Linked DNA regions of Drosophila melanogaster. The protein of the gene in region 1 interacts with the protein of each later gene in a pairwise test. Each region holds a gene or a part of one and is shown in the gene's direction. Other genes may lie near its edges. The genes, in order: CG14864, Eno, hec and crq.

Region 1 (5,285 bases):
CCTGAGCTCGGCGCGAATTTTCGGTTTCTATTGTAAATTAAATTGTTAATGAAGATCAAGGTGAATGATAAGATATGCATATGCACTGGTTTAAGTGTATAAGATCTAATCTACTCATCTCACGTAATTGTAAATCCCCTCCCATCCCAAGTATGTTGCCCTGCTAGCATGAAAATCGTAAATCTAAGAGGAGTTCCCCAAATGACCTTAAATGAGAGATCAGAGACCAAACAACCCAACATTTAGCTATTTATGAGTGTCCGTTTCTTCACACATACACCACCAATAGAGCAACCAAGCAACATTTCACGATTAGGTAAACACTATATATATATATACACATATGCCTATTTACATACATATAGAGATGTAGTTACATAGATGTTGTTTTAATTCGTTTAAAACAGTGACATGATGTCCCCAGAAAGTAATAAAATGATTGCGTTTAATGGTTGGCTAAGTAAGATTAATCAAAAGGAAAAGAGGATGCCCTTTTTTTGATTAACAACTTAATTGTAAGGTTTATTACATATAATAAAAGCATAAAAAATAACACAAACTTTGGAGAAAGAGAAAATATAAATGTAGACGAGAAGACTGAACTTTTTACTTATCCTACGGCAGATCGACAATGTACCTAAAACAAGATTAGTTGGAAATGCACAAGTAACAAGTCTTACACAAGAGATTAACAGCTGCCAATCCATAATATTATCCTAAGTGTTCTAAGTTTAAAAAGCGGCACATTTTCTCACAGCGCTGAAACGATTTCTCAACGAAAAGATGTCTAATCCTCATCTGAAAAGGCGCGAAGAAAATAGGTCAGCAATGTCGAAAGGGAAATGCAAATCACATAATGCTACGCACCAGAAAGATAAAAGTTTATGATGCACATGGTCGCAAAGCCGGCGAGCACAGTTGCAAACTGTGCAAATCCCGCCCAGCGTCGCGTTGAGTTCGAGTGCCAGCGCGCCTTCTCGCGCGGTATCACCTCGCAGACGGTGACGTAGAAGAGTGTGCCTCCGGCCAGAGCTTGGACGATAGGCAGAGTTTTGCTGGACCAAGCGGCGGGCACGTCCACGATAAGCATGCCCAGGCCAATGCCAATGACGGCGCCCAGGGCAAACACCGAAATGCCGACGAACTGGGCGCGAAAACTCGTCTGCGGATTCGAGCGGAACTCGAGCCCCAGACAAAAGCCCATCACGAACTTGTGGCAGGCGACGGCCCCTAGAAGAAACAGAACCTACGACGAGACAAAGCAGATTCCGGTTATCTAATTGGACTAAGCCCTCGCATCTCTTTGCTTCAATATTTGCCTAAGATTGCGCACTATAGCCGATCTAGTCTAACTATGTCAAGGCAGGCGGCACAGACCTTTGTGGAAGAGTTCTGAACGCCGATGGCGAGTCCTTCGATGGCCGAGTGCAGTGACAGGGCGACAAAGAGACCCAGAGTGCCTGTCATGGATTGGGCGCAGGGTTCCGTGTGGCTGGTGTGGCAGATGCGGGCGTTGGCGTCCTCTACACTGGCATCATTACAGCCAGATGCGCTGGCCGGGTGATTGTGGTCATGATCGCTGCGTAATCGAAGCACAAAGCAATTAGTTTTGGCTGCGGGAAGGGAAATGCAATAAACCTACTGGCTATGATGGTGCGAATGCCCATGTGACGTATTGGGTTCCGCTGATAAAAGGGGCGCTCGTTCGTCCACTGCGCCATAACCATTGTCATTAGTGGGACGTCTTGGTGGCTCGGTTGCTGGAGTCTCTGCATCGTGGGCATGAGTGTGCTGAATGGCCTCGCCAAAGAAGTAGTGTATGAACTCGTCGATAAAGTAGATGATGAAGAACCCGCCGCACATGGCAACCTCAGCGAATTTCGAGTCCATTTGTTCGCGCACCTGTTGCATGCGTAAGTCAGCAGGTTATCAAATTGCAGCCACACACACGATCGCAGTCCAAGCTCTTACCTCGGGCAGAATGTGCACCAGTGCGGTGGCTAGCAGAATGCCCGCTCCGAAGCACAGGAGCAGGGATGCGGTCAGCGGGAAGCGGCGACGATTCCGTTCCGATATAAAGGCGGGCAGCAATCCGAACAAAAGACTCCCGAGTCCGAGGACCAGCATAGCCAGCACTTTTTCCAAGTCGCCGCGACTCGTGGCAGCCAGGGTGGGGCTTGGGGTGATCTCCATGTTTAGACCGTCGGTTGGCAAGCTCATTGTATCAACTGCCAGACTGTGTCATCAAGAAGGGGGCCAGTAAAACACACAAAAGTTCGTTGCATTTACTATTTTTAAACTAAACAGTTGCGAAGTGTGTGCAGCTGCTTTCGTGCGAAATACCAAAACGCCTTACAATGGGGGGGCCACAGAAAAGTAAGGCATTTCAGCAGTGCGCCTTTCAGATCACACTCATTTAAACGGTTTTTTTTTTTTTTAATTTTATTTAAACATTTAAATCTAGAACTATTCTTTTACCAACCACCACCATTAAGAATTTCAATAAAAGAAGGTAGGCACCCTCTCCAATTATAGTTTTGCACTTCGACAAATGCTCCTGTAGTTAAAATTCAAAATTTTACCGTTTCCGTCCTGGTTGTCCGTTGGAAAATGCATCGTCGTTGTATAATCTGTGGCCAGGAGCCGGGCGAGCAGTGCGTCTACCCGCGCAACATGTCGGAGGCTCGCCGGTGGCAGAACTTGGCCAACCTCAGCAGTTTTGACGTCGACCCCGAATCGCTATGCCGGCACGGATGCGTTTGCGCCTCCCATTTGGATGGCCACGGATCAGGTTCGGAATCGGAGAGCTCGTCTCGTGCTGCTGGCAGGGCAAGGACTCAAGCTGGCCTGCAGGAATGGAGCAGGTGGAGCTCTTCGGCATCGGACGCTGGCCATGGCTATTCCATCAGCAAAAAGACTAACGAGCGGATCCAGAACCAAAGCAAACAGAGTCTCGGCTCGGAGAGGCAGGAATTCAGCAGCGCGAACAGATGTACGAATGGTTGCTGTCGTTTTCGAAACACCTGCAACAGCATGTTCCAGGGCAATACATACACCCAAATGGGACAGAAGTATCCCAATCCACAAACAAGGGCCACAAACTTAGAGAACAAAAATAATCCACCTATGAAATTAAGCCCAAGGGTAAATAAACCGACCTTTGGAGCTGTAAACTGCACCTGTGATGGATGCACCTGTAGTTTCTGTCCAGTGCAAGGGATCAAAAAAGCGGTAGCCCCTCTAGAAGAGGATTCAGGCAGCCAACAAAGTATAAATAAAGAGTATAAAGAAAGAAAGGATAATTCCAAAGGCAGCCCAAAAAAACAGAGTTCCTGTGAACGTCTCACTTGTCCAGCTTTCAGGACAACGGACATAAAAACTGTAGCAGATGATTTCCGCAGTAGCCCGAACTACCCGGTATCGCCAACTTCACGAGGTAACAACAAAATTAAAAGTTCGATGAACCAGCAGAATACGAAGAAAAAGCCGGAGCTGAAGAGCGAATGCTGCCAGACGTGCATCACCCAGCAATTGAAGGATCAGGAAGTGCAGTGCTCAACGGTGACGCTGCAGACTCAGAGCTCTTCGCCTGTTAGGCGAACCAAGATGACCGGCTCGTTCAGCCATCAAACTGGAAGCTCAGCGACAGGTTTATCTGGCGGATACACCAATAATTCGAATAACTTTACTTGTGGCGGCGGCGAGAGAAGAACTTCAAATGCAATCAACGTGCTGCTTATGAACGGCACCCGGAATAATGACTATGAAGATGGGTGCTGCTCTCCGGCGAAGCAACGTCCCATGGCGCCGCCTCCAGAGATTTGCGTTCAAGAGTCCGATCTGACCGAAAATGATGAGCGAGCTGTGTTCCCGGAAATCGACAAGCCCAATTACAGAGTTTGTCGATCCTCGAACGAGACCAATGTTCTGGTCCTGGAGGAGAGTCCTTTGAATGATTGCAGCCCCAACCCAGGGCAGGATGCGAGTACACTAGATAGCAAGACGAAGAGTAATTTTGATGCTCAACAAAACGCCAACGATAATAAAGAGCAACATAATAGTTTTCTAATCAACTGGCTTGAGTCCCCGGCCACGAGTAACTTCACCAAGGTTCTGGAACTGCAGAGATCTCGCATCAAGGAGCTGGAGAATCTGCTGGAGCAGCACAGCCTTCTGCAGCAGACAATCCAGCACAAGGTTGCGGAGCTGCAGTGCACAGATATACCGGATCCTAAAAATATATCTAAATCATAAACCAAATCTAGTGCGCATATCTCTGAATAAATTTTGTTGGTTTTCAAAGGGTGAAGAGTGTTTTATTCGCTATTACCGCTTGAATTCCAATACCAAACTTTCAGTTTGACCATCTAAATCAAGAGCAAATCCTTAAGAGTCTAGGCAGCGGTCTGGATGACATCGGTGTAGAGCTTGACCTTAGTGGCAATGCTCATGTCGACGTACTTGTCGCCAATGGAAACGATCAGGCCACCAATGATGCTGGGGTCCACGCGGGAAGTGATCTTCAGAGACTCGTTGCCCTTCAGGAAAGACTGCAAAGCAAATGAGCAATAAATTGAGTGGGTGAGACAAGACAGAAGCTAGGCGTAGCTACCTTAAGGGCACCCTCCAGCTGCTTGCTCTGGGACGCATCCAAGGGCTTGGCGGTGACCACCTCGCAGACGACCTCACCGCGATGTGCGGCCATGATGGTCTTGTAGGCATTGATCACGGTGTCCAGCTTCTTTAGACGTCCGTTGTCAGCCAGCAGACCCAACAGATTGACGGTGGCCGGGGCGAAGCGGAGCTTCTCGGATGCCTCCTTCAGAGCGGTGGCCATGACCTTCTTGTTGATGATGGGGCTGGTCACGTACTCGCGCAGCTTCTTGTCGCTACGGATGGTGGCCTGCAGGGCCGTCAGATCCTTCTCCACCTGATCCAACTGGCTCAACTTGGAGGCAGCCGAATACAGGGCGGTAGCATAGCGACCCTCCAGACCGAACACCTGCACTGGTGGCTTCACCGTCGCCTGGGCGGCAGCGGAGCTGAGGGTGCGGCTCTGCGGGATAAGCAAACAAGAGCACTTGGTAAGTTTTTCGGCTTATTAAACATAAACTACCCGCGGTTCGTGGGTTAAGATGGGCAAAAATTACATAACCAAGAAACGCGCGTTAGATAATTCTACATATGCGACAGCGGGTTGCAAACGCAATAAAAATTTGACATGCACTTAAAATGGCTTGGCATTGACCGGAGCTTGTTCACTTTTTTCTATTTATTCGCATTAT
Region 2 (8,377 bases), on another chromosome or scaffold:
CGTCTGCTGCAGGAGAGTCTTCGCAAGATTCCCGGACGTTGTCTGCTCTATCTGCACAAAGCCACTCCCGTCTTGGAAGCACCATCTAAAGCCTCCAAGAAGTGGGTGCAACGACGGGCCAAAAACCTAATGCTGGGCAAACAGGTCGAGAAAATCGACTACATGAAGGAGAAGCAGGGACTGAAGCCAGCTGAAACTGCAGTCAAACCCAAGAAGCACAAAGGGCCCAAGAACCCCAATCCATTGTCCTGCAAGAAGAGCAAAAAGGACAAGGCGAAGCAACAGCTCAAAGGAGTTGAGCAGACCGCAATAACCAAGGCGAAACGAAAACGAGTCAAGATCCCAGCGCACGTCAAGGCAGCGCTAGGAAAAGATTAGATTAGAATGGTTGATCAAGTAGATAAATATAAGATAATGCAAGGTAATCTGCAGTCTTGACAAATCATTATAATGTGGGAGGAGCTGCTTTAACTAGCCACCTGAGTGTAATATGCCCTCTTCTATAATGGCAAAAAAATCTATGCATCTGAACCAGATGATAGATTACTAAATTACTGGTTAATGACTTAAGTTAACTAGAATATTTTAGAATTCATAAATCTTAATTGATTATTAGCTTACCACAATATTGCTCACCAATTGAATGGGAGGAACTGTAGAATCCCACTGTGCCTGTGAAGATTATCGCGATTGAAACGCACACTCAACTTAATCTTGTGCACATATTTATATATTTTAGTATATAGTTAAGAATTATACAACAGTATAAAAGATGACTGAGAGCCGTTTGGAGCAGGAATAGGGAAGGGGCGAGGCACACCGGGGTTGTTCTCACAGTTTGCCCTCGCGAATCTTGTTCAGCGTCTTCTCGGTCATCAATTGAGCCAGAATCTTGCTCAGCGTGGGATTCCGGGCGCAGTAGGCCAAGAGGTTGACGGGAAAGAGGCCGCACCAGGTGAGATCCATCTTATTGGCCAAGGCAACGGCGAACAGATCGCCACATCTCTGGGCCGTCATCCGTTTCTGATTGGCCGTACTCAGACCCACCTTTCCGCCCTGCGAGCCAGTGAAGGCCTCCTGCAGGAAATCGGTGGCTATGGGTCCCGGTGCGAAGAGCGACACATCCAGCTTGCGCATCTCCACTTTCAGGGAGAGCAAGTAGGCGTTAAGGGCGTGCTTGGCGGCACAGTAGGTGGGTGAAAATGGCACTGGACTGAAGCCGGCGATGCTGGAGGTGGCAGCGATGTGTCCTCTACCGCCGTTCTGCTCCACGAAATAGCGCACCACCAGGCGGCTGAGGTGGACCACCGCAAAGACATCCAGTTCGAACAGCTCCCGGTCCACCTCGATCTCGACTTCGGTCCAACTGGCTCGCTGGGATCGGCCAGCATTATTGACAAGGACATCCAGTCGATGAAAGTGATTGAGCACCGTGTTGAGATGCGTCTTATGCTCGTCGAGATCGAGCATGTCCATTTGAATGACCAGCACGTCCTTGGTGGCCAGCAGTCCGCGAGCTGCAGCTAGGCATTCCTCTTGCACTTGCTCCAATTGCTCCAGTCGCCGGGCACTTAGCACCAATTTCACTCCATGCCTGGCCAAGCTGAGCGCCAAAGCGCGGCCAATTCCGCTCGAGGCACCAGTTATCCAAACCACCTGTCCGCGCATCGACGACAGCGAGACTCCGAAACGGGACTTGTACCACAGGGCCACATTGCAGTCGAGCAGGATCCAGAGGAGCACGTACACGACATAGTACAGCACGAGCAGGAGCAGCAGAAACTCCAGGAAGCTCATCTCGTTGGCTCTGTATGGCACGGCTGGGTCGGAGAAACCTTTGTCCTCTGCCGCAACGGAAGGCACTGAAACCTGTTCTTGGCCACACAGAAATCACTGCGAGCGGGTCTGATCGATCAGCTGTTGGTGGGCACCAGAGGTGACGCAGTGACTGCGGAAAGTAGTCACCTTATCTGACATAAAACCCTTATACTTGGTTTTTGAATGATGCTATATTATTTAAATACCTTTTGGTAGCTAGGTAAGGGTAGTACTATCTTTCTTGAGAGAACATGTAGAGCATAATCCAAGATACGAAAAACGCTTCCATCTGCTCATCTCTGATAGTTTTTTTACGTAAACGAATCAGGGCTTCCAACACACTGCCTTTGCGCCAACATTCACATCAAAATTCAACCCCATCAGTTTGGCTAACCATTTCTTTTTATATAAAAGTAAGTAAACTAAGAACTAATCCTAGGCCTGCAGGAAGTCTCCGAGATTGCCACATATTTTGTCGATTTCCGCACATCCCGATTGCTCCAGCGCTGAAATGGCATTGGCGAGGGCCACGGTTTCTTTCAGGGAATGGGCCTTCAACCATATCCTGCCGTTGACTCCCACAGCGATCTCGTAGGGCAGTTCCCGGGTAAGAGCGGCGAGAACAGGGCAGTTTTCCCGCAGCAGCATCCTTCCCAGATTCAGGCTGCACTTGAAGAAGAATCCATCGGTGAGGACGCCCAGTTTGCCACTTTTGCCCACCGAGTTGACGCAGACCAGCTCCGGTTCAATGTCCGCGCTTGCATTCAGGACTCTCGCGTAAATCAGATCACCGGGGATCAGATCCGGGCGATTCTTCTTGCTGGCCGCCTCAAAGGCGAGATACGATATGGAGGCTGTGTCCGTTGCTCCGATGTCCACGCGGTACAGATCGCCCGCCTTGGCTCGCACAATGCCCAGAATGAGATCCCCGCGTGCCGGGATGTACCTTCTCTGGTAGTTGTCCACCCAGAAGGTGCCGGGTTCCTTGTGTCGAAGTGGGCCCGCCTTGCTAGCCACCACCGTGTCATCCAGACGCCGCAGTCCCGGTCCGAGTATCACCCGCTTGCTCTTGGCCAGCTCCTCAATGGCCGCAATTCGCTCACCGGGCATAACTATTGTGCTGGTCGCGCTCATTTTAATGTTGCTTTTACGATTTGAAAACTCCAAACAAAAAATCCGCGTGTGTCTTTCAAAACATATGGTCAAGTCGAGGACTTTCCAACACTGCCATTGTCAGCCCTGGTCTTAAAGTTAAATTTAACAGTAGTTGTAAAGAACATAAATATTCAAATTATTTTTGCCCCTTCTTATTTTATTATTTTCAAAATGCTTACGATTTTAATTATTAAGATGAACTTAAAAAAGTAACAGAAAAATTATATTTAGTCAAATTGTAATTGTTCTATATTACTGAATGATCTTAAAAATGCAAAGAAAGTTTTAAAGAGCTAACAGCGTGTGGGCGGCAATGTTAACCAACACATATGCAATTTTTTCCCGATCAGCTGTGCTGCTATAAGCATAATCGTACGATTTGTTAAAATCCGCTTTGCATTTATTTGTTCTAATTTATGGCAGCTAAAAAGCGTGACTAACCACAAGTATGTGACTTTGAATGACCCGATTGTCCAGAAACCACGGGAACATTTCATTATCATTGGTTGTTACACTTCTCTTGACGCCATTTGATTGTTTATGCTTTATTAACGAGAGCATTTATTATTATGTAGATAGACATGCAATCCACAGCTACGTGTGGATCCCGATTACTCTAACCTTGTGCGAAGGTCAATTTTCCCCAAAAAATATAGGAAACGTACCAGGGAAAACAACAAAAAAGGGAAAGCGCACCCCCACACTGAAAACCGGCGAGCACCTGGAAACGCATACATATAAAAGGAGAGTAAATGTAAGTGTCCCTCTCTTTTCCACACTTAGAGATGGGCAAAAATACATCGCCTAAGCTGAGCTTTTAAAATTTATGAATATTAAATTTATCATATAGCTTGCAACAGAGCTATAGTTTCATGTAAGGTAACTAAAATATATATTTTAAATGATATTTTTTACTCCTTTATCAAGATACAAATTGGTAGCACTTTCGCCGCCGTCTTTTACACATTCAAGCCATGTCTTGGACCGCTTCAGTTTTCTTGAGGACTTCCACCACTAGCATGAAGTTTCTGCGTCTGCGCTGGCCTCTCCCCAGAATTCCCCAGAATAAATCGGCAAACGTTGCGCCGCGTTTCAGAAGCAAATCAGCAGTCAGCCAGCTCTCATCTGGATTTAAATTTGTGCAGATCCGCAAAAGTACTTGGTATGTATATTGCTAGACTCTTGGTGTGTGCTTGTGCATCCAGCTTAGGGAAAATATTTAATTGTTTTATCTGCGAACTTCACAAAGATCACCCCAATCGAAAGGGCTTGAAAATCGAGCGTTTTTTGCGAGCGATATCCGCGCGATTATCTAACAAATGGTGCTGTGCAAATTTTCAAGTGTCTCGTTTACGTATATTTCCAATCGATTTAATTGCACAAATCTAATAATTTCAATTGACAGGCATTTGTTGTATCGCTGTAGGGAGATACTTCCGTTTTTCGCAACTTTTCCACGTACTGCGGCTTCGCTGGACGCCTCACTTTGGGTCTGACCTTTAAAAGTAGCTTAGAGGTCATTCGGTTGTTCGGCGAGAGCAAACTGAAAACTCTCCCACTGAGATAAGCGGAAAAGCGGGAAATGCCGCCAGTGTCAGTGACTCTAAATTATTATAGAAATATTTAACTGAAATTTGAAGACAAATTAAATATAGAAAACTCAGGAGGGGCATTTCGAGATTATACCGTGGAGAAAGTCACACCCGAATGGGGATATATGTATAAGTTTACACCACTCACAGCTCAAATTGCAAGTGACTTACATGCTCACAGCTACAATTCTTTGCAAAAAAAAATAATTTTTTATTAATATCTAACCATATTTTGAGAACCAAGTCCAAAAGTATGTCAAAGGTGTATCTCCCATTTCCTTTCTAGTTCGTATTTCTTTTTCGACATATTTCCGAATATTTCACTGCATCACGAAACATATCATTTAACTGTCCATTTGGAACAATTTTAAATATAAATAAGCCCAACTATTTAAGTAATGGCGGGGATTTCGCAAATATTGTGGAGCACATCCGCCATAAAATCTGAATGGCTTCATCTGCGGTCAGCTATTTAATAGAACACCATGCCTAGATTTAAAGTCCTGATAACAGACACTAATTCGCCCTCGTGGACTTTGTTTTTTGTTTTTTGATTTCAGTGACAGCAACGAGATGACCATCAAAGCGATCAAGGCCCGTCAAATCTACGACTCCCGTGGCAACCCCACCGTGGAGGTCGACCTGACCACCGAGCTGGGACTCTTCCGAGCCGCCGTGCCCTCCGGCGCCTCCACTGGCGTCCACGAGGCCCTGGAGCTGCGCGACAACGACAAGGCCAACTACCATGGCAAGTCGGTGCTGAAGGCCGTGGGCCATGTGAACGACACCCTGGGACCCGAGCTGATCAAGGCCAATCTGGATGTGGTTGACCAGGCGTCCATTGACAACTTCATGATCAAGTTGGACGGCACCGAGAACAAGAGCAAGTTCGGAGCCAACGCCATCCTGGGCGTTTCCCTGGCCGTGGCCAAGGCTGGAGCCGCCAAGAAGGGCGTGCCGCTGTACAAACACATTGCCGATCTGGCTGGCAACAAGGAGATCATCCTGCCGGTGCCCGCTTTCAACGTGATCAACGGCGGCAGCCACGCCGGCAACAAGCTGGCCATGCAGGAGTTCATGATCCTGCCCACCGGCGCCACCAGCTTCACAGAGGCCATGAAGATGGGCTCCGAGGTGTACCACCACCTGAAGAATGTGATCAAGGCCAAGTTCGGTCTGGACGCCACCGCTGTGGGCGATGAGGGCGGCTTCGCCCCCAACATCCAGTCCAACAAGGAGGCTCTGAACCTGATCAGCGATGCCATCGCCAAGGCCGGATACACCGGCAAGATCGAGATCGGCATGGACGTGGCCGCCTCCGAGTTCTACAAGGATGGCCAGTACGATCTGGACTTCAAGAACGAGAAGAGCGACAAGTCGCAGTGGCTGCCCGCCGACAAGCTGGCCAACCTGTACCAGGAGTTTATTAAGGACTTCCCCATCGTCTCGATTGAGGATCCCTTTGACCAGGACCACTGGGAGGCCTGGTCCAACCTGACCGGCTGCACCGACATCCAGATCGTGGGCGATGATCTGACCGTGACCAACCCCAAGCGTATTGCCACCGCCGTGGAGAAGAAGGCCTGCAACTGCCTGCTCCTGAAGGTCAACCAGATCGGCACCGTCACCGAGTCCATTGCCGCCCATCTGCTGGCCAAGAAGAACGGCTGGGGCACCATGGTCTCCCACCGTTCCGGTGAGACCGAGGACTCGTTCATCGGTGACCTGGTCGTCGGTCTGTCCACCGGCCAGATCAAGACCGGAGCTCCATGCCGCTCGGAGCGTCTGGCCAAGTACAACCAGATCCTGCGCATCGAGGAGGAGATCGGCGCTGGCGTCAAGTTCGCCGGCAAGTCGTTCAGGAAGCCGCAGTAAGCGCAGGGCACTTCGAAATTCCAACCACACCAGCCCCATCGAATGAGATCTGGATCTTGGAGAGGGAGCTGGACGCAGTAGATCCATGGAAAGGCGGCGGTGCACGTGTTCGTCAACCTTTTACGTTCGGAACTTGTGTCTGGCGCACAAATACATCAGAATTAAACTACCAAACCCATTTGCTGTCTCTATGCTTCGTTCTTAGACATTATTAATTAATGCTAAACCTTGATCTAATCATTATTTATAAACAAAAGAATAAAAAACACTATGTGCAAGATATTCGTTCAGTTGCCGAGAGCTTTGAATATCTTCAATGTAATCGCTGTAATCGTTATGAAATTATAAATTGATCTACACAAACACCAAATCCACAAACAGACAAGTTATTCACTTCAAAAACGGTTATGAAACAATTGTTGAGACATAGAATTTAAGCGAAAGCTGTTGGAATATTCTTATCGAATATACACGGTGTTCAATAGAGATCTTAATCAGATGGAATAGTACACCAAATATTAAACATATTCAGATTTGTTAGTTGATGTGAAATAAAAAGTATAAAAGTTACTGAATTCTTTTCTTCGATCACTTGTGGCGTTGCCAGATAATCAAGTAAACTCAAGTAAGGGCAACTAAAGTAAAGGCAACTATCTTAAAACATTTTCTGGATTTGGATTAAGATTGAATGGATCTGAATTATTCATTATCTCTGAACTGATGAATGAAGTTATTAAACTTTGAATACGATCTTTTTTCTATCTTTATCTTTGCTTTCCACCAATTAGTCGAGTATTTCAATAAGCTTTTTCAACTTTCTGTGAATAAAATTGAATTTCTAGGGTGGACCAAAATGGCGCTCAAAGTTTCGCACAGAACCGTTGAATTCCCCAGTTTGTTGGTATTTTTTAGGTCGTTTCTTGGCGCCTCGCAGCGGCGGTATGCTTCCACAGTCGCAGTGCGGTCACTCTCACGGACGTGTTTTTTTACATCGGATCGAAAATAAATTAATGCAAAGCTAAATCACAAACGCTAGGGATCGGCGAGCTCGAAATCGAATCAGTGCACCGGCCGACCGACGGACTTTAACTGCGCGCAAGCTAACCGTAGGTTAAGTTAACGCTCAGCACTGCAACCACTGCAGTTGCATAACCGTTGCCGAAAATCAAGTCGAAAAGTCGGAGAATCGCGGCCAAGCGAAAGCCCCAAAAGTTCAAAGGACAATAGAAAGTGGCAAGAGGAAGAGAGGAGAGCGTGCTAAGAGCCCCTCCCCCTGGGGCCCCGCCCCCCACACCTCCGCCCACAAAGTGCCTTAACAATATAGTGCGTTTTGCCAAAGTTAAAACCAAGTGCGCGTCCAAGTAGCCGCCCATTTCGGTGGAGCCTATTCCGGAACTGGGAAGACAACGAAGATGGCCCAGAACACGGCCGACACTCTCATCCACCTGATCGCCGGCGGGTAAGTCTGCCTGCCTGACATTCTCCCTACTGCGTCTTATCGCAGGTCAGGCCATCAGCGTAGAACGAAACCGGTTTGCTCCCGGCCTCTAATTGTAATTGCTCGGCGGGAACGGCGCAATTGGCGATTAGATTTGGGCTGGCCCACGAAGGGGAGCTGAACTATTTTGGCGCCACTGCCAAAAGGGAGCAAACCGAAAAAGAAATGCGGCCAGCGCAGGGAAACACACAACACAAACTGATCTTCGGGAAACATGCTACGTTCACGTGCTTTGCATTAAAAGAAGGGTATTTGTTGTTCGATAAATCGCAGCTAAAGTGAGCGAAATACGCAGAACATATGTAATTAATTAAAGCGCGCCTGCAGCGAACAAACATTCATAAACAGCGCATTTCTGGGTTCATTTTCCGCAGGCAATGTCCACTTGGATTCATTCCGATTCCCCTGGACAGGCAATTGCTTTGTTGTTGTTTCCCTT
Region 3 (8,819 bases), on another chromosome or scaffold:
GAGCTGGCGGACCATACGGCCGCGGGGGATACGAGGGACAGTAGCTCAGGTCAGTTTGGATGAGTTCTGTAAAAAAAAAATCAAGAAAGGAATGTTAACAAAATATCCCAGCATAGTTGCCTAAACAAGGATATGAATTGAGAACTTACCCTTCTTTCCGGCAAACAACAGTTTCAAGTTCTGTGAGTCCAGGCGGCACTTGCTCGAGAATGGATGGTAGCTATAGCCATCGGTGGCGCAGACAGCATAACCACCTGGTGGGCACACTGCATCGTAGTTGACATCCGCAAAGATGTAGTCAAGTTCAGAGCCCGAATAATCACTATACCAATCGTAGTCCCCCTTAACGCCGACGAAAGCCAGGACGAATGTCAGGAGTAGAGCTAAGGAGCTGGACTGAGACCTTGGATGGAACATGTTGCCGATGGAACTGATGTCGCTGACCATGTAGATCCCCGCTTTTATGGGTCAGCGACACGACTGAGAAATGGGGTCTGGAACGTGCATGTGATTACGGTCTTTACATCACTCTCGAGCATTTTTTTTTATGTTTAAAACCCCGTCTCCCCGGCTTTTATCACTACGGAACGTGCGACCGAAGTGCGGTGACACTATGCCATAGTAATATGGTATTACCTAACAAAAAAATCGTTGTCTTTGCCGCTGTTTAAACTCTCCAACTAGCACTTTAAGCTCGCTCAACTGGCGCCAGATTGTTCTTAACGTGGCTAACTGGATTAATGTCGATAGAACCTGACCTAACTAATCTTGCACTCTTCTTTTGAAGAGAGTGGCATAAAAAAATGTCGTCATGCTTGTATTAATACAATGCTTATTAATCACAAAGGTCCAAATGTTACCTTAGTTTAGCCGAAGTTTAATCAATCTTGGCTTATACAATTACAGTGATTCAACTTTAAGTACAAGCCAGGTAACCAAGTAATACTATGTTATAAGCAAACAATTAAAAGGTGTAAACTTGTACCCAATCTCGTTCTTGCTCCTGACCATTCATAAAAGTAAAGTGCACTTACATATATTTGCGGACATGTGCAGAAAATTATATTGCAAAGGCGATTTGCCTTAAATTCACTTTTATGGGCGGCATGCCATTTTACGAGCTGAGAAGCCAGAAATTTTCACACCACACTGTGTGCTGCTAATTGTGAAATACATTTTATATGAAATTCTCTTACATTTTGTAAAGAATTCTTTATCAATCCTAAGTCGATGTCAATTTTGTCTAAAGAAACGTCAGATAACCGCATAAAATATTTATACACGCTTGCTATGCAGGACATCATCAGCTATTCAGGAATAAATTTTATGAAAGTTTGCTGAGGTATTTTACATGAATCGAGAATTGAAGTGAACTGAAACGAAGTATTCACTAAAGTTGAATCTTAAAGGTTACTGCATGATAATAATAAAGTTGCATTGCAATCGCATCAAATGCTTTTAACTGCAGTTTCAAAGTGAAACAAACACCAGTATCCTTGTACTTGAGAAGTCTTAACCCTTTGTTTGCCCAATTGTTATTGCTAAAGAATTGCTATCAGGTCGTTTTATTATATACAGATTGTATTGATGATAAACGAGTTAAAAATTAAATTTATTGGTTTCTATAGATTTTTTAATTATTTTATTAAATTAATAAAATATTATATTAAAATATTATTATTACTTCTATCCTTATAAAAACACGATTAAAGTAAGCCAATAAATATATATTTTTAATTGGATAGACCCAGTTGGGTTAAATAAATTTCTTTAACAAAATTCGAAGTCCTTAGGAATTTGTGGGTCCCAGCTGTGTGCGCCACGCCCACCTAGAAAACTGTTATACACGCCCACGACAAGCAATTCACAAAGGCATAGAAGCAGTGCGCCGACAACTTGTTGCTGGCAAGCAGTGTTCGGCAAAGCAGTACTCGTACACTGAAAGAAAGTATAAGTTCTACACTATTCAAATAAAATCGATAATGTATTCTCACTTTTAATGCCAAATATTATTAGAAGAAGTGTGCTAGAACTTAAATTAAGATGAAGATACTTTTGACATTTGTAGTTTAAATATATATTTTTTAATGCAAATACCCACTTTCTCACTTTCTCTTTTTTCGTACATTTCCTTCAGTGTGCCAGTATGGTGTATGGGCGTGAAAATGGGGAAAATGGGGAAAATATGAGGAAACTGCCAGCCACATCGGCAGGCGGTTTTTGCCGGATGCCGTACCATTTGCCAGCGGCACGCGGAGCAGAGCGGTGCGAAAATCGGAGTGGAGCAGCCAATTTTGAATACCGATAACATAAAGCGCATTTTTTGTCCGTGTTTCTAATATATATTTTTTTTTTTTTGTGTTTTTGTGTGCTGTTGCTGTACGTGACGAGCGGTGAACTGAAACCGAATCAATTGTTTAAGTTTTCAATGAATGGCAGTGGCAAACAATTGAATGAATTCAATTGACTGTGGGGCCCCATGTAAGTGATCTGTTGGCACCTGTTTTTGCGTAAATTCTCGACACCTTTTATGCGAATATCAGGTGAATATAATTTTGAAACATATTTGAACAAAAAATATTTCAGTAAATAATTAGCATAATTACTGCGCCGCATGAGACTTCATTTTCGAGCATTTAATTAAGTAAACAATCGAATTAAATATTTGCGTACACAGTACAAATAAATAATTCGATTTCAAGCCCCATCCTATTTGCGGTTGTTTTATGCGAAAAGTTTTTGCGCTACACAGGGAAAATACGGCAGTGATTGGCAGGAAATAAGGAAATGAGTGTTATAATTCGCAAGGTTGGCAACTTTTATGCCCAGTAGATCCGTCCGGGGGATTGGAATTCCGGATGATGATTCGTGGCCAGTCCGGCGTGCGTAATTGCATTTGGTGACCCAGGCGATGTGGATGAAGTAATTTGTTATTATAATTGATCCGCCAAGAATGGCCGAATAATGTGGCATTATTTCGCATGTCCGCTTTCATTTCGAGTGCGTGTCCTGGTTTATGTGTGTGTGTGTGTGTGTGTTTGTGTGCTAGTCGGTTTGCGTGGCATTTCCGTTTCCGGCCTGCAAATGGCGCTAGCATCATTAACCGCATTGACGGCTTTTCCCACCGCCTCTATTAATTTTATTTCTCTTTATTTTTTTTTGTGCTAGGCTGCTAGACAAAACAATTCATCATCAATATTCAGCATGTGTACATATAATTATTCCTCTGGCAGCTTTTTGCTCCCACCCCTATTGATTGGCCATTTGTATCTTTTGCAGCGGGCGGTCCTGTCGCCAAAAAAACAAAAGAAAAATAAGTCCTTTCTCTTTCGCCACCCATTGTTGACAATAAATTTCAATATCGTGCATAATTTATGCAAGCAAACGTTTTCAAATTATTTGTGTTTTATGAATGCTCCAAAATGAGTGCTCCCCCATTCCTATGGCTGCTATTCCTCCCCAAGTATTCAGCATCAAAAACTATGCAAAACAAAACAATTTGCCAAAAATGTTGCAGATGCTTGCGTATTCCTTGAAGCATTTCCTTAGTTTTGTGGAGCAAAATCTTGGCCACACAGCGCGCTTCAGATTTTCTTGTAATTTCCCTGCATACTTTTTTTTTCGCCAAGTCAGTAGTCGTTAAAACAAAACGGCAAGGGAAATTTTATAGTTGGGCAAAGTAGTTTATCTAATTTAAAATTGTTTAGAACTGGCTGTAGTAAAAGTAAAAAAGTAGTAAAAGTAAAAATGTTGTCTAGTTTAGTCAGTGCTACATTTTCTCACTATTGCTGAGAGCAGCTTGCTTGCAAAATGCTTCTTTAACTAACAGCGAAAAGTAATTGCGAAATATTCTAAAAAAAATATACTTAACTTTTTGTGCTATTAGATGAGCCATAATTGTTTTAGTAAAAACATATTTGTAGTCGGTATTTCTTTATACGCATTTAACTAGCGTGAGAAATGGAATCTGTTGAATAAGCGTAGTGCCACTTAAAGTGTAATTTGCCTCATAGCAAATGATAAAGCGGGAATTCTGCAATGGATTTAATTCAAAGGAGGGGGAATGTGAATGCAATTAATGCTCATTAGTGCTTCAAGACAGCCATTTGAATTGATGGCCAACAAAGGGCGCTCTAGTCCTTGGTCCTTCCATCGTCATGCTCCGCTTACCTGCGGCTAATTGCCTGGCCGAGACACTTGCAAAAATATATATAACATGCAAGAATGTTTAGCCAGGCGTCATATCCATCATGGGAAACTGTCCCAGTTCGGTGTAATAAATTAATGCCGCAAATTAAAGTTTAGCTTGGGAGCGGGAAAATCATCTTACTTTGTATGTATCGTGCATGCTAGATTTTCCAGTGCCTGGTGCAGGCTTCTGTCGAAACTCAATCAAGTGAAATGAGTTTTGATTAAAAATATAACCAAGTTAGGCAAGAACTTTGCAGCTCATCCCGCCTTTTGGGCCACGTGTTCGGTGCGGGTGTGTGAGTGTGTTTATGTGTTTGTGTGTTTGTGTGCCCCCACGATCAAAGTGCATTTCATTTGAGTTTTTAACCCGTGGCATTTGCTTTGTCTCTCTGTGCGACGAAATGCAATTAAGTTCGCCCAACCACGGTAGCAGAAATAGCGACACAGTTAAGCACCGCCATTAATTAGACAATAAACTGATTTACAACATATGAGAGACGAGTAGGTGACTCGGCTCACACGACACTCAGGTGCTTCGATATTTTGAGTGTGTGTGTGTGCCCCGTGTGGATATTCCATTTCCTTTGGCACCATTTCCCCGCAGACAGGACCCCACAACAAATATCAACCCAACTCAGGCAACTCTTTGAAGCCTAACCAAATTAGAAATGCACACACGAATGGACGGCCACAAGGGACTCAAGTTCGCTTCGCTATGGCGAAATACAGTGAGAACTAATGTTAAATATAAGAAAATATATTTAAATCAGAATAAATTTTAAAAACTAGCTCATACAAGTTTCTATGGGTAAGCAACACTTGTTTAAAACCTTTCAAATTGCCTCTGATAAATTATTGCAGTTGATTATCCTATTTATCCCGTAATTCTTTGAATTATATTTATATTATTATATTTTTTTTTAGTGCATTAGCCGTTGACAAGAGTTAGTCACGTTGAATAACCCACAATGGCGACAACCTCTTCAGATTCGGAGTCGCAAAATGTGGATGTGGCATCGCAGGCCCAAACGCAGGATAATCTGCGCATATTTTTAAAGCATTTGTATGCGGAGTGCGTGTTCCGATACCAGAATGTCACATACGATACGGACGACCCATCATTTTCACTTGGCCCAGCAACAGGTGAGTGGCGGCCAACAGGCGTATACGTGATTTGCCGCGAAAAAATAGCAGAGGCATAAGACAGATAAGAAAGAGAAGAGAATTAAATTAAATTACAGCCCATCTGATTTCATTTAATGCATTTCAAAGTAATGTATTTAAATATATACAAAATCATTGACTTACTTCTTGGGGATGCAAATTTAAACATGGGTTTTCGTTTCAATGCAAATCATTGGCATCTCAGGACAAATTTATAAATTTAAATAGCACTCAACACCTTTACCAAATGTACATATATTTTCAACCAGAATTTATGAATTATACCCTGCTATAAAGAACGATGATCTATTAACTATCTTAAGCAAGTTATGTACATTTGAAATACCACTTTATTTTACATATGTAAAGCAAGCATGCAATTGAATTGAACTTGAAAACTGAATTACATCACTTTCAGTTATGCAGCCCATAGATACTATTATTAAAAATGCTATATTTTTATACATTAAAAAGTAAACCCATTTTAATGGCACTTGTCGCCGTGCACAGACTACGATTCCGATTTGCCGGAGAACTTTAGCCCAGTGCCGCGATATCTGGAGAATGCCGCGATGAACGAGGGCGTTATTGACATGCGAAACGTGGACGAGGAGCTGGCGGAGAAGGAGGAGCTGATGGCCACCGTCGTCAGTGCCACGATGGCCACAAATCAGAAGGAGAACCGACTCTTTTGCCCCCTGAACTTTGACGGATATCTCTGCTGGCCAAGGACTCCGGCCGGCACTGTGCTGAGTCAATATTGTCCCGATTTCGTCGAAGGATTCAACAGAAAATTTCTGGCCCACAAGACGTGAGTTAAATGCCCAATATGCCTGTATATTACGCCACCACGAATAGGATAGATTTTCATTCCGTTCAGGATTTCGCATGGTCAAATAAGCTCTGCAATATGTAATATTCGTTTGAGCATAAATTCGAAAATATCTTGCCATATTCGGCATTTGCTTTAATGTGTTCTGTGTGTCATAAAATACAATGTTTATGTATGAGTGCGCTACAAACAGGGAAAATCCTATAGAGTTTACATTCGTGTCTATTACATAAACTCGCAGCATATCTCAGAAAAAGATGATGGAAAATGAAAGAAAAATAAAACCTTCTTCAACTCTTGCAGAGATAATCTCCCTAAGTGTACTGTAGCAGCACTCTAAAACTTGCACTACATGTATGTATCTCCAATTTAATGGATAGCGTTCATCTCACTTTACACGCCAACTGAGCTCAGCTGGCTCCTGGTAAAGTTGGGTAACTTGTGCATTGTCAGGCGCTTTGTTAGAAATACCCCCTTTACCCATCAGTCCGCACTTAGCCAGTCACAATTATCGTAAGCATTTCGCATTCATAGCTGCCTGGAGAACGGCTCCTGGTACCGTCATCCGGTTAGCAATCAGACCTGGTCCAATTACACCAACTGCGTGGACTATGAGGACCTGGAGGTAAGTGCTTCGGCGGCATCAAGCGGGTGGTACATGGGCATTAATCAAGAAAGTTGCCACTGCAGTTTCGCCAGTTCATCAACGAGCTGTACGTGAAGGGTTATGCCCTCTCCCTGCTGGCCCTGCTCATATCGATTATTATTTTCTTGGGCTTCAAGTAAGTGTTTGTCTACGACCCACACGGTTCCTTTCCCTCCGGTAACTGACGGCCGGATATCCCTTTTCGTTTCTTTCCGTTCCGTTCCATTCCGTTTGCAGATCCCTGCGCTGCACCCGCATCCGCATCCATGTACATCTGTTCGCCTCGCTGGCCTGCACCTGTGTGGCCTGGATATTATGGTATCGTCTGGTGGTGGAGCGTTCCGAAACCATAGCCGAAAATCCGGTAAGATGCACTGAGAAAAGTAACTATGAAAATAACATAGCCCTACAAGTAGCTAGGCAATTATACAAAACCATAAACATAACTAACTTTCAGCTGTGGTGCATTGGGCTGCATCTGGTGGTGCACTACTTTATGTTGGTCAACTATTTCTGGATGTTTTGCGAGGGCCTGCACCTGCACCTGGTGCTCGTTGTGGTGAGTTATCCTTACTCGTCTGGCAATCTGGCAATTGCCTGCACAAGTCTGCATTCTTTATGGGCGACTTCTGTGCATGGCAGATGTGATTTCCTGCAGCCGCTGACATGGCAATGGTTCACCCCCAGCAATTTGTCTGAGAGCAAATCGCAACGTTGGCCAACTGCTTTACGTCTGCGTCAAGTTGAGATGTCAGGAATGTCCGTTCAGATCCTGACGCCCCTTCTTCTTTCCATTCGCCAGGTCTTTGTCAAGGACACGATTGTGATGCGCTGGTTTATTGTCATCAGCTGGTTTTCACCCATACCCATAGCCATCGTCTACGGTCTGGCCAGGCATTTCAGTAGTCCGGACAATAAGCAGTAAGTTATTTTCACAATTTTACACAAGACATAATCCTGATTGATTTGGTTTTTGCATTGCATTTATTAAGAGATTACATTCTACGCTATATCCATGGTAACATTTCTTTTCACATTATTGCAGCTGCTGGATAACTGACAGTCTCTACTTGTGGATCTTCTCGGTGCCCATAACTCTTTCGCTGCTGGCCAGCTTTAGTAATATGCATAATTTTCTTTAAAAGTACAATATTGCTCAGCTATATGCATTTTACCCAACAGTTTTTCTGATCAACGTACTGCGAGTGATCGTGCGAAAGTTACATCCCCAGTCCGCCCAGCCGGCACCGTTGGCCATCCGGAAGGCGGTTCGGGCCACCATTATTCTGGTACCGCTGTTCGGACTGCAACACTTCCTGCTGCCCTACCGTCCGGATGCCGGCACCCAGCTGGACCACTTCTATCAGATGCTATCGGTGGTGTTGGTCAGCCTGCAGGGCTTTGTGGTCTCCTTCCTGTTCTGCTTCGCCAATCACGATGTCACCTTTGCCATTCGCACGCTGCTGAACAAGTTGCTGCCCAGTTTAGTGACCCCGCCGCCGGCCGGGAGTAATACTGGACAGATGGCCACGACCACGCCCAGCCGAGAGTTGGGCGTTTAAGGCGTACCGCGCGAGGGTCGATCGTAACATTGACCGCATCGCCGAGCAAAGATTTTGAAGACCAGTCCGGCACACTTATTTCATGATAGCAAAATATTTTTTTTTATAACTTAATTTTGTTAAAATGCATACTGATTTCAATTATTTAAAATGTTCCTGTTATATTTTTTATCCTGGGATACTATGCCCGAAATGCATTTAGAAAAGAAAGGTTCTAGTCATATGAATTATTGATAAAAACAAATAATTGTATGCTTGATCTTTCTAAAAAAAAAGTTTCTAAAAAAACTCTGTTAAGAATTATCACTTTAAAACTTTTTACTGAACAAGTTTTAAAATATATTTTGAAAAAGTATATAAAGCATAGTGTTAAGCATTAAGAAAAAAACATGTAAACAAAATCTAAGCTTGAACCCAGAAAAAT
Region 4 (8,111 bases), on another chromosome or scaffold:
ATGCGATTGATGGAGGATTGGTCGAGTATTTTCTTGAGCGCTAGAATTAGAAACGTTTATTAATGAAACAATTACTCTTGTGATAATGTATATGCTAACCTTCCTTGTCCTCCTCCGTAAGATCCTTCTTGGGGAACTCCACATCGAAGGTGATGTACAGGTTGCCGGTGAGGTTGTTGTTCTCAAAGTTGGGCATGCCCTCGCCCTTCTTGCGGATTCCTGCGCCAGTTATCGACAGCTGAGCCAAGGTTGCAATAATGCAGCCTATCGATTGTCTTAATATAATAGTTTTCAAATTAAATTATTTCTGAGACAATCAAAAAATCCCTTTTAAAAACAGTAAATCAAAAATAGTAGCTTCCGCAAAGTTGTATATAATTTAAATCCGCTTTATTTTGTGGGGGTTGGTTTTTGTTGCAATTCCTTTTTGTCGGCAGGAACCGCCTTAATAGTTCCCTCTCATTACACTTTTGCTATTTTACAAAATTCTAAACTAAAATTAAATTGTTTTCGCACAACTTTTTTGAACAAAGTCATCTCTTGAATTAGGGGCGTTCCCAAATCAAAGTCGCCCTGTTAGTTAGGCATTTAAAAACTAGAGTACAGCCGGCGAGCACTTTTATTGGGGATGAAACATGGGTATTCACAGTCCATTGTATATGCGATTGATGGAGGATTGGTCGAGTATTTTCTTGAGCGCTAGAATTAGAAACGTTTATTAATGAAACAATTACTCTTGTGATAATGTATATGCTAACCTTCCTTGTCCTCCTCCGTAAGATCCTTCTTGGGGAACTCCACATCGAAGGTGATGTACAGGTTGCCGGTGAGGTTGTTGTTCTCAAAGTTGGGCATGCCCTCGCCCTTCTTGCGGATTCTAGCGCCGGGCCACGTTACCTTCTCTCTCGTGACGGGCACCAGGTGTCCATCAAGGTGCTTGATCTCCATGGAGAAGCCGACAAGGGCATCCTGCAGACTGATGGTCACGTTCGTGTACAGATCATCATTCTTGCGCAGGAATCGCGGATGCGGCATTTGTTGAACCCGCACAATGAGGTCGCCGGGCTCCCCATCGATATGTGGCTCCCCCTCGGCCACGAACCTCGTCTCTTGGCCGTCGACCATGCCCTGTTCCACCTCGATCTCCAATGTGCGCTCCTCGTTGACTAGCTTCACGTTGGGACACTCGTCGCACACCGTCTGTTGGATCATCTGGAAGCGCCCGGGTCCAAGGTTCCGGGTGACCATCTCCTGGCGGCAGTTGCATTTCCTGGTGCCTGAGGCGGGTTTCGTTACAGGCTTGTTCCTCACAATTTCCACAAAGTTTCCGGAGTATAGCTCCTCCAGGGAAACGTACAAGTCCATTACGATATCGGCGCCTCGCGGAGCATCTTGCTGCTGGCCATCACCACCGAAGTGAAAGCCGAAGTCCCCAAAGAAGCTAGAGAACGGATCACCACCGTGATCCATCATGCCCTCCTTCTTGAGGCATTCCTCGCCGCAGCGGTCGTAGGTCTTCCGTTTGTCCGGATTGGAGAGGACTTCGTAGGCCGCTCCCAGGTCCTGGAACTTTGTGGAGGCATCCGGGTCGTCCTTGTTCTTATCCGGATGCAGCTCCTTGGCCAAACGGCGATACGCCTTCTTCACTTCGTTCGTGTTGGCGTTTTTCTTTACGTTCAGTATTTTGTAGAAGTCCCGGCCGGCAAATGACTCCTCCACCAGCAAGAGGGACAGCTGAATTATAACCAAGCACTTGATAAGCTGCATTTCGTTTTTGATCCTGTTTGATTCAGCAATTCATTCTTTTTAACCAGCTGATTCGAAATACGATTTTAAATGCTGGCAAAAGTGTAAAAAAATTGTAGTTGTCGCCGCTGGCAGCTTTGTTTGTGTGTGTGAGTCGTGGTCTGCGCTGATTGGTTGGCACTGTCGTTAGGGTTGTCACCACTTCTCTAACAGAACAGCTGTTTCGCATTACAGTCAATCCAAAAACTGTGGCAACGTTGCTTACAGTGCTGTTACAGCGCATATAAACGCTTCTGGTCACACTCGCCCAGCGAAGATAAAGAAATAAATTGTTTAATCCAATTTAGCCCAGCAAACTGCAAGTTTGCAGTTTATCTTTCTCTGCTTGCCCTCTTCGGCAACGCGAAAGTGCCTTTTTTTTAGTTGGATAGCAGCTTTCAGATCAATTCCAAAGGCGCTTCCCACGCTTGAGTTTAGCTGTAAAAGTAATAAGAAGGGAAGTCTGACAATTTGAATCCCTTTCGTACGGTACTTTTGCGATTCCAGGCACCAAAGGTAAAGGGACTAAGCGATCATCGAAGCGGGAAGTCCCAGAAAAATAAATTTACTCCGAACTATGGCATAATAAATGTCAAGGCCAAAGCAAAACAATAACAGAGCCATCAGAAGCTAATGCTAAAAGACGTAGTTGTGTGTGAGATAAAAGGTGAGTAATTCATCACTTTAATTATGCAGCCGGTAATGTGCAATAATACGTGAATATAACTGTACGCCTAATTCGCAACTGGTGATGTCAACACTTTAAGCGCAAGTTGATCGAGGTTTAAGTTCAACCAGAAAGCAAACATTTCACGGGATGCAAGCTATCGCCCTCAAAAGAGAGACAACATGCAGTAAACATATATAGTGCATACACAATGCAGTTTACAACAAACTATTTTAAAAACCATTTAATATTAATCAATTATTATTAATATTAATTCGCCTTAAACAGTTAACATGAATTCTCGAGTTATCCTACTGGGACTCGTACAAGCTCAAAAGGCTCTACTGTAGTTCCAGACCCCCTTTTTTGCCTGTTATCAGTCGTTAAACAAAGAAATATTCATTGTAGTATAGAGCCAGCCCAATAATCCGACAAAAACAAGACTGAGTCAGTCGACGGGAGGAAACAAAGCAGGGAATCGAAATTGCAATACGATATGCACCAGACTTACGATAAAAACAGGCCCCGTTCCTATTGCATTAAAAGAACTTTGGATTACAGGACGGATCAAGGCTGATATGGTATAGTAAAGCATATTTCGACCGAATTATCAGTATCTCCACAAAGCTAATCTTATCAGTGCCATAAATAGGAACCCCTTGTGAGAACATCTTGACCAACCAACCACAGAAGCAAATAGCCGAGAAATGCGGGTATTACCCAGATAACGATACTAAACACTATCTTAGACTTGAATGAATTTGAATTGCAGACAAGCATGGACATAAATAACATCTAGGCATGAAATTACCATAATTATAAATGTTTATAATATTAAAAGGAATTTTAACTATTGTAAATCAATCTGCCATAAAACCTACTCACTCGATCAGAATAACCACCCGAGTCGATCTAGCCATCCGCCTTCGCATGAACGCTTTGATCTCGCGAACTATAAATGTTAGAAAGATAAGATTTTCATTTCTATCGCTATGCTACAAATATTTGCAACATACCCACTCTGAATACCAAAATATTAAAATTTTGTGGCAGCCAGCTACCTGAGTTACGAGTAACTGAAAGTCGAGGAATTCGAGTAGAGTGATCTCTTTTTTGTGTTTCTCCAAACGCATCCAAGTTAATGCCAATCAAGCAAATATTCCCGACTAGCAAAGTCCAGAGATTAATAAACGAACCGAGTGGTAATTGAACGTCAAGTGAACCCATTAAAAGACACACAGTAGACCGCTGGCCACCAGTTTCGCCCTGCCAGGGGACGCGTACGGTTTTGATAGTTCCGATTGTGCTAAGGCCGGAATATTTTCGATCCCCTTTGATTGAAAACTAGTAAGTTTAGGCGACCTAAACAGTGGCAAGTGCTAGAAAACTGAATAGATCTGCGGATGTCTGCACTTGAAGTTGACTGTGCGGATAAGTGGGCTGTCCCACGTAATCTTCTCCAACTGTCATGGACTGCAAAATATATTCAAAAATATACACTTATAATCGCCGATGCTTATCGAATACTTAAGCAGGGACCAGCCGGCGATAAGCCTTGGTCTTATTATTTTCAAAATTACCAACTCTGCAGGGTGCCAGGATGGGTGTACCGGGAAATAAACTAATAAAAATTCGATACGGATTATGGACATTGATTATACAAGGAAAAATAACCCCACAAACTGTCTTCACTTCCAGATGCAACTAACTGCCTAGGGCTGGATTATTCCCACCTTGGCTATTCCTTAAAAGCGTGAACCTTTGGAATCCTACGTATCCACCATGTGCTGCAAGTGCTGCGGGGAAACTCAACGAAAGGTCTGGGTCTTCGGCTTGGGATCGGTTTTCCTTTTGCTGGGAATACTAATCGTGGTCTTCTGGCCGGGTATTGCAGATAACCTTGTAGAGGATGTAAGTATATTTAGCCGTCCGAGATTGCGTATTACAGGTTCAGGGAAATATGTTTACCGAACGATAACTAAAAAAAAAAAAGATTTTCATTTCGACATACTAAAATGAACTTAATCTTTACCCAGGGCCTTACCCTCAAGCCCGGGACTGATGCCTATGAAAGCTGGCTGGAGGCACCTATCCCCATTTACCTGAGCTTTTACATGTTCAATTGGACGAATCCCGAGGACATAAGGAACCCGGACATTAAGCCAAACTTCGTGGAAATGGGTCCGTACACCTTCCTGGAAAAGCACAAGAAGGAGAACTATACGTTTTACGATAATGCAACGGTGGCATATTATGAGCGCCGCACATGGTTCTTTGATCCGGAGAGATCCAATGGCACATTGGACGACATGGTGACTGCTGCCCATGCCATTACCGCCACGGTAGCGGATGAGATGCGAGACCAGCGCAAGATCGTCAAAAAAATCATAAACTTTATGCTGAACCATGAAGGCGGAAAGTTGTACGTAACCAAGCCGGTGGGCGAATGGATCTTCGAGGGTTACCAGGATAACATTACCGATTTCCTAAACCTGTTCAACACCACAAAGATCGACATACCCTACAAACGCTTCGGGTGGCTGGCGGACCGCAATGAGTCGCTGACTTACGATGGCTTGTTTACTATTCACACGGGCACTGACGATATATCTAATCTGGGTAGACTTACCCACTGGAATGGAAAATCAGAAACTGGATTTTACGAGATGCCTTGTGGCATTGTTAATGGAACCACGGGCGACATGTTCCCGCCAAAGATGAATGTAAACGATGAGATTACGATTTTTGCCACCGATGCTTGCAGATTTATGAACCTCCGGCCCCGGGGCACATACGAGAATCACGGCCTGACCGCCACTAAGTGGGTAGGCACCGAGGAGACTCTGGACTCCGGAGAAAACTACCCTAACCAGGCGTGCTTCTGTGATGAGGCGCGATTTGATGAATGTCCCAAGACCGGTGTCGTGGAGTGCAAGGCGTGCCGAGACAAAGCACCCATTTACTCCTCCTTCCCTCACTTTTACCTAGCGGATCAGTCGTATGTTGATGCTGTCAGTGGAATGAAGCCGGAGAAGGAGAAGCACGAGTTCTTCCTAGCCGTGGAACCGATTACTGGAGTGCCTGTCCAAGTGCATGGACGCATCCAGATTAATATGATGATTGAGCCCGATGACGACTTCGAGTAAGTAAAGTAAAAGTTCATGGATAAAAACTACTCATACGATTCATACAATTACGTACATAAAAGCAAAGGTCTCAAGGAAAATGTAAGTCATAAAGTAAATTTTATTTGCAGCATATATCGTGGAGTGCAAAAGGTTTTAATGCCCATGTTCTGGTTCGATCAGTATGCAGAGCTCTCCTCCGAATTGGCATCGAAGGCCAAGGTAAGACCTAATCCATATTTGAAATGTCTTTCATTTAAGTGCCATACTTTCCATTTCAGTTGGCCATTAATTTGTCCAGTTACGGAATCATATTCGGCTATTCCATGATAGCTTTTGCCAGTGTCTTTCTCATCACCGGCATCACGCTGACTGTGACGAAAAAGTGGGTGCGGCGAACTCCCGAGGATGAGGACATACTTACCAACTAGAGCAAAATAGTTTTTAAGCTTTGCCAAAGTGCCAGGAATTGTTAACTCTCCTAGTTCATTCTGATAGTCGCCCGTCAAATGCTGTTCTTTGTCAGTTATGCGTTATGTAATATGTAAGTGATACGAATCGACGTTCGTCTTGCAGTTTGTGATAGCAAAACCTACTCTAAAAAAAAAACTAAAAACTACTCTAACTCTAAAAAAAAAACCTTACTCTATCTGCATATTACACGAATCATTCACAAGTTGAAACTTTCTGTTTGAGACTTAAGTTATCGTACTTGATAAACAATACTTCATACAACTAAAACACTCCGTGCATTTTATTTTAACGTTTTTATTTGAATTTTCATTTATTTTGAAAAGATAGTTTTTTACAATTTCTGTATGCTTTTCTGCAGGACTTTTACTTATCGTATACGATTGTTGGATGCTTTAACGATTTGCTTTATAAATGCATTATTCAAATGTTGTTTTGTAAATTAATAAATAAAAATAATTGTATACGTATATATATTTATTTATATATATGTATATATATTGGTGTATATGTAAGATATATGGCAAAAATTTTACATTTTCTCAAAGATCACATTCCTCAATTTAGCCATAGACTTTTAGTCGAGAAAAATCTACGCAAATATTTGTGACATCCATCAAAAACTCAAATTAATTTTTGCACGCACACTAACACATCCAAAAAAACAGTGGGGGATTATTAATCGAACAAAAAATAATAAACAAAGTGGATACAAAAAATAAATGATAATCATCTCTCGCTTATTACTATGGTGGGGATGGAGGGCAAGTCTAGGCACTCTTGAAATTCTTTAGTTCCCTTCGTCCAGCGATCGGAGCAAGCAAACCCATTTCAAACCATTTCATAGCCGATTTGAATGCTTTTCACTTGATTCTACCGCTGGCCCGATTCGTTGTGAGTATGTGTGTGTGTGTATAAAGAGCGACGTTGCTACGTACTAAAAAATTTGCATAGTATATGTTGCGTTGTTCTTGGTGACTAAAATAGTTATAAATTTAGTATAAGTTTAAATAAAAATCAATCACAGTTGTTTGGGCGGAAGTAGTTAGTTTTAAGTATTCGCATTTCTGGCCTAACTAAGTATTTGCAGCTAAGACTAAAGATCTACGATGTAGTTTAGTAAATTAGGTAGTGGTCGTATTTTATACTTGAGTATTGTTGCTTCCCATTTTGATAAGCTTCCTCTCTATTTCCGATGTTGTGTCATGTTGTGGTCTGTGCTGTGGTTACGTTACCAATTCCCTTAAGTGACTAGACTGGGTTCTGATTATTTGAATGTGTATTTTGAGGTTACGTTGCTCACGTCCTGTAGGCTTAAGTATTGACTCTGTGATATTCAGTTGTTTCAGTGGCTCGTGTATTTTACCATCTGAAGTTGGTGGACCTGCTAGTTTGTGTTTTTCTAAAAAACTGTCTTCGCTAGTTAAATGCATGTTAGTTCCTACTAAATAGCTATTGTTTCTGCTGTTCTGACAAATGGTTTCTCACGGTGGGTTTTCGTTTACATTTACCCTTTTGTGCCCGGCGAATCTTTACCCTTCGAAACACTGTGATCGAATTTATATAACGCTACACCACCCGATCTATGCAAATTTCCGAACGCAGAATTAGCTCTTCACCTGGGCACACTCATACATCAGCACTTCGAACAGCAATCGAACTAGAGAGAAGAGTGTCGTATTGGACCCCCAATGTCCACTTCCGTTCCGGTTTCCAATTAGCTTGTCGAGTCTAGCTGGTCTTGTTGTGCTGCTGCTGCTGCTGCTGTTGCTTCATCATGACAGCGGGATCGATCACGTAGTTGTTGGCCTCCGCCAATTGTTGGACAGGTAAAGGCGGCAGTTTGTCCTGCGGATGACGGTGGCTTACGGTAGATCCTTTTCTGGCCTTGCTTAGGGTTCCTGCTCCTGCAGAGGAGTTGGCAACTCCATTTGTGGTGGCACCTGAAGGTTGCGCACTGGAAGTGGGCATCTCCTGGCCAGTCTTCGGATTTATAACAACCTTAGTCTGTTTCAGCAAGGAGCGATCGTTGCAGAGCGCCGAGATCAGCGGCAGATCTAGAT

Evidence for each region.
Region 2: the proteins of CG14864 (region 1) and Eno interact in a two-hybrid assay, tested with the Drosophila melanogaster proteins (one large-scale study listed by BioGRID).
Region 3: the proteins of CG14864 (region 1) and hec interact in a two-hybrid assay, tested with the Drosophila melanogaster proteins (one large-scale study listed by BioGRID).
Region 4: the proteins of CG14864 (region 1) and crq interact in a two-hybrid assay, tested with the Drosophila melanogaster proteins (one large-scale study listed by BioGRID).

Annotation. Positions count from the first base shown.
Region 1 is NT_033777.3:15,265,698-15,270,982, reverse strand, and holds CG14864 (uncharacterized protein), read left to right. Parts: upstream 1-2,553; 5' UTR 2,554-2,610; coding exon 2,611-4,254; 3' UTR 4,255-4,299; downstream 4,300-5,285. Other genes in the region: Zip88E (Zinc/iron regulated transporter-related protein 88E), read right to left, coding at 788-798, 868-1,246, 1,378-1,579, 1,643-1,902, 1,972-2,220; ATPsynO (ATP synthase, oligomycin sensitivity conferring protein), read right to left, coding at 4,395-4,550, 4,613-5,056.
Region 2 is NT_033779.5:1,723,404-1,731,780, reverse strand, and holds Eno (enolase), read left to right. Parts: upstream 1-2,144; 5' UTR 2,145-2,253; coding exon of another isoform or gene 2,254-2,952; exon of another isoform or gene 2,953-3,049; intron 3,050-3,317; exon of another isoform or gene 3,318-3,478; intron 3,479-3,548; 5' UTR 3,549-3,727; intron 3,728-3,900; 5' UTR 3,901-3,947; coding exon 3,948-4,135; exon of another isoform or gene 4,136-5,028; intron 5,029-5,125; coding exon 5,126-6,440; 3' UTR 6,441-7,013; downstream 7,014-8,377. Other genes in the region: CG17652 (uncharacterized protein), read left to right, coding at 1-378; CG31937 (uncharacterized protein), read right to left, coding at 832-1,797; Rrp40 (ribosomal RNA processing 40), read right to left, coding at 2,254-2,952; Rim2 (replication in mitochondria 2), read left to right, coding at 7,853-7,899. UniProt on the Drosophila melanogaster protein: Enzyme of the glycolytic pathway. Glycolysis is essential in glial cells but not in neurons; neurons rely on the citric acid cycle for their energy needs, and on lactate and alanine secreted into the hemolymph by glial cells to fuel it.
Region 3 is NC_004354.4:12,950,880-12,959,698, reverse strand, and holds the start of hec (hector), read left to right. Parts: upstream 1-2,236; 5' UTR 2,237-2,481; intron 2,482-5,115; 5' UTR 5,116-5,159; coding exon 5,160-5,334; intron 5,335-5,865; coding exon 5,866-6,166; intron 6,167-6,721; coding exon 6,722-6,812; intron 6,813-6,877; coding exon 6,878-6,969; intron 6,970-7,070; coding exon 7,071-7,197; intron 7,198-7,290; coding exon 7,291-7,392; intron 7,393-7,635; coding exon 7,636-7,754; intron 7,755-7,878; coding exon 7,879-7,952; intron 7,953-8,015; coding exon 8,016-8,395; 3' UTR 8,396-8,819. Other genes in the region: CG32642 (uncharacterized protein), read right to left, coding at 1-66, 150-417.
Region 4 is NT_033779.5:446,918-455,028, reverse strand, and holds crq (croquemort), read left to right. Parts: upstream 1-2,004; 5' UTR 2,005-2,452; intron 2,453-3,726; exon of another isoform or gene 3,727-3,799; intron 3,800-4,150; 5' UTR 4,151-4,234; coding exon 4,235-4,363; intron 4,364-4,488; coding exon 4,489-5,594; intron 5,595-5,708; coding exon 5,709-5,799; intron 5,800-5,858; coding exon 5,859-6,008; 3' UTR 6,009-6,775; downstream 6,776-8,111. Other genes in the region: shv (shriveled), read right to left, coding at 644-699, 759-1,767; ex (expanded), read right to left, coding at 7,780-8,111.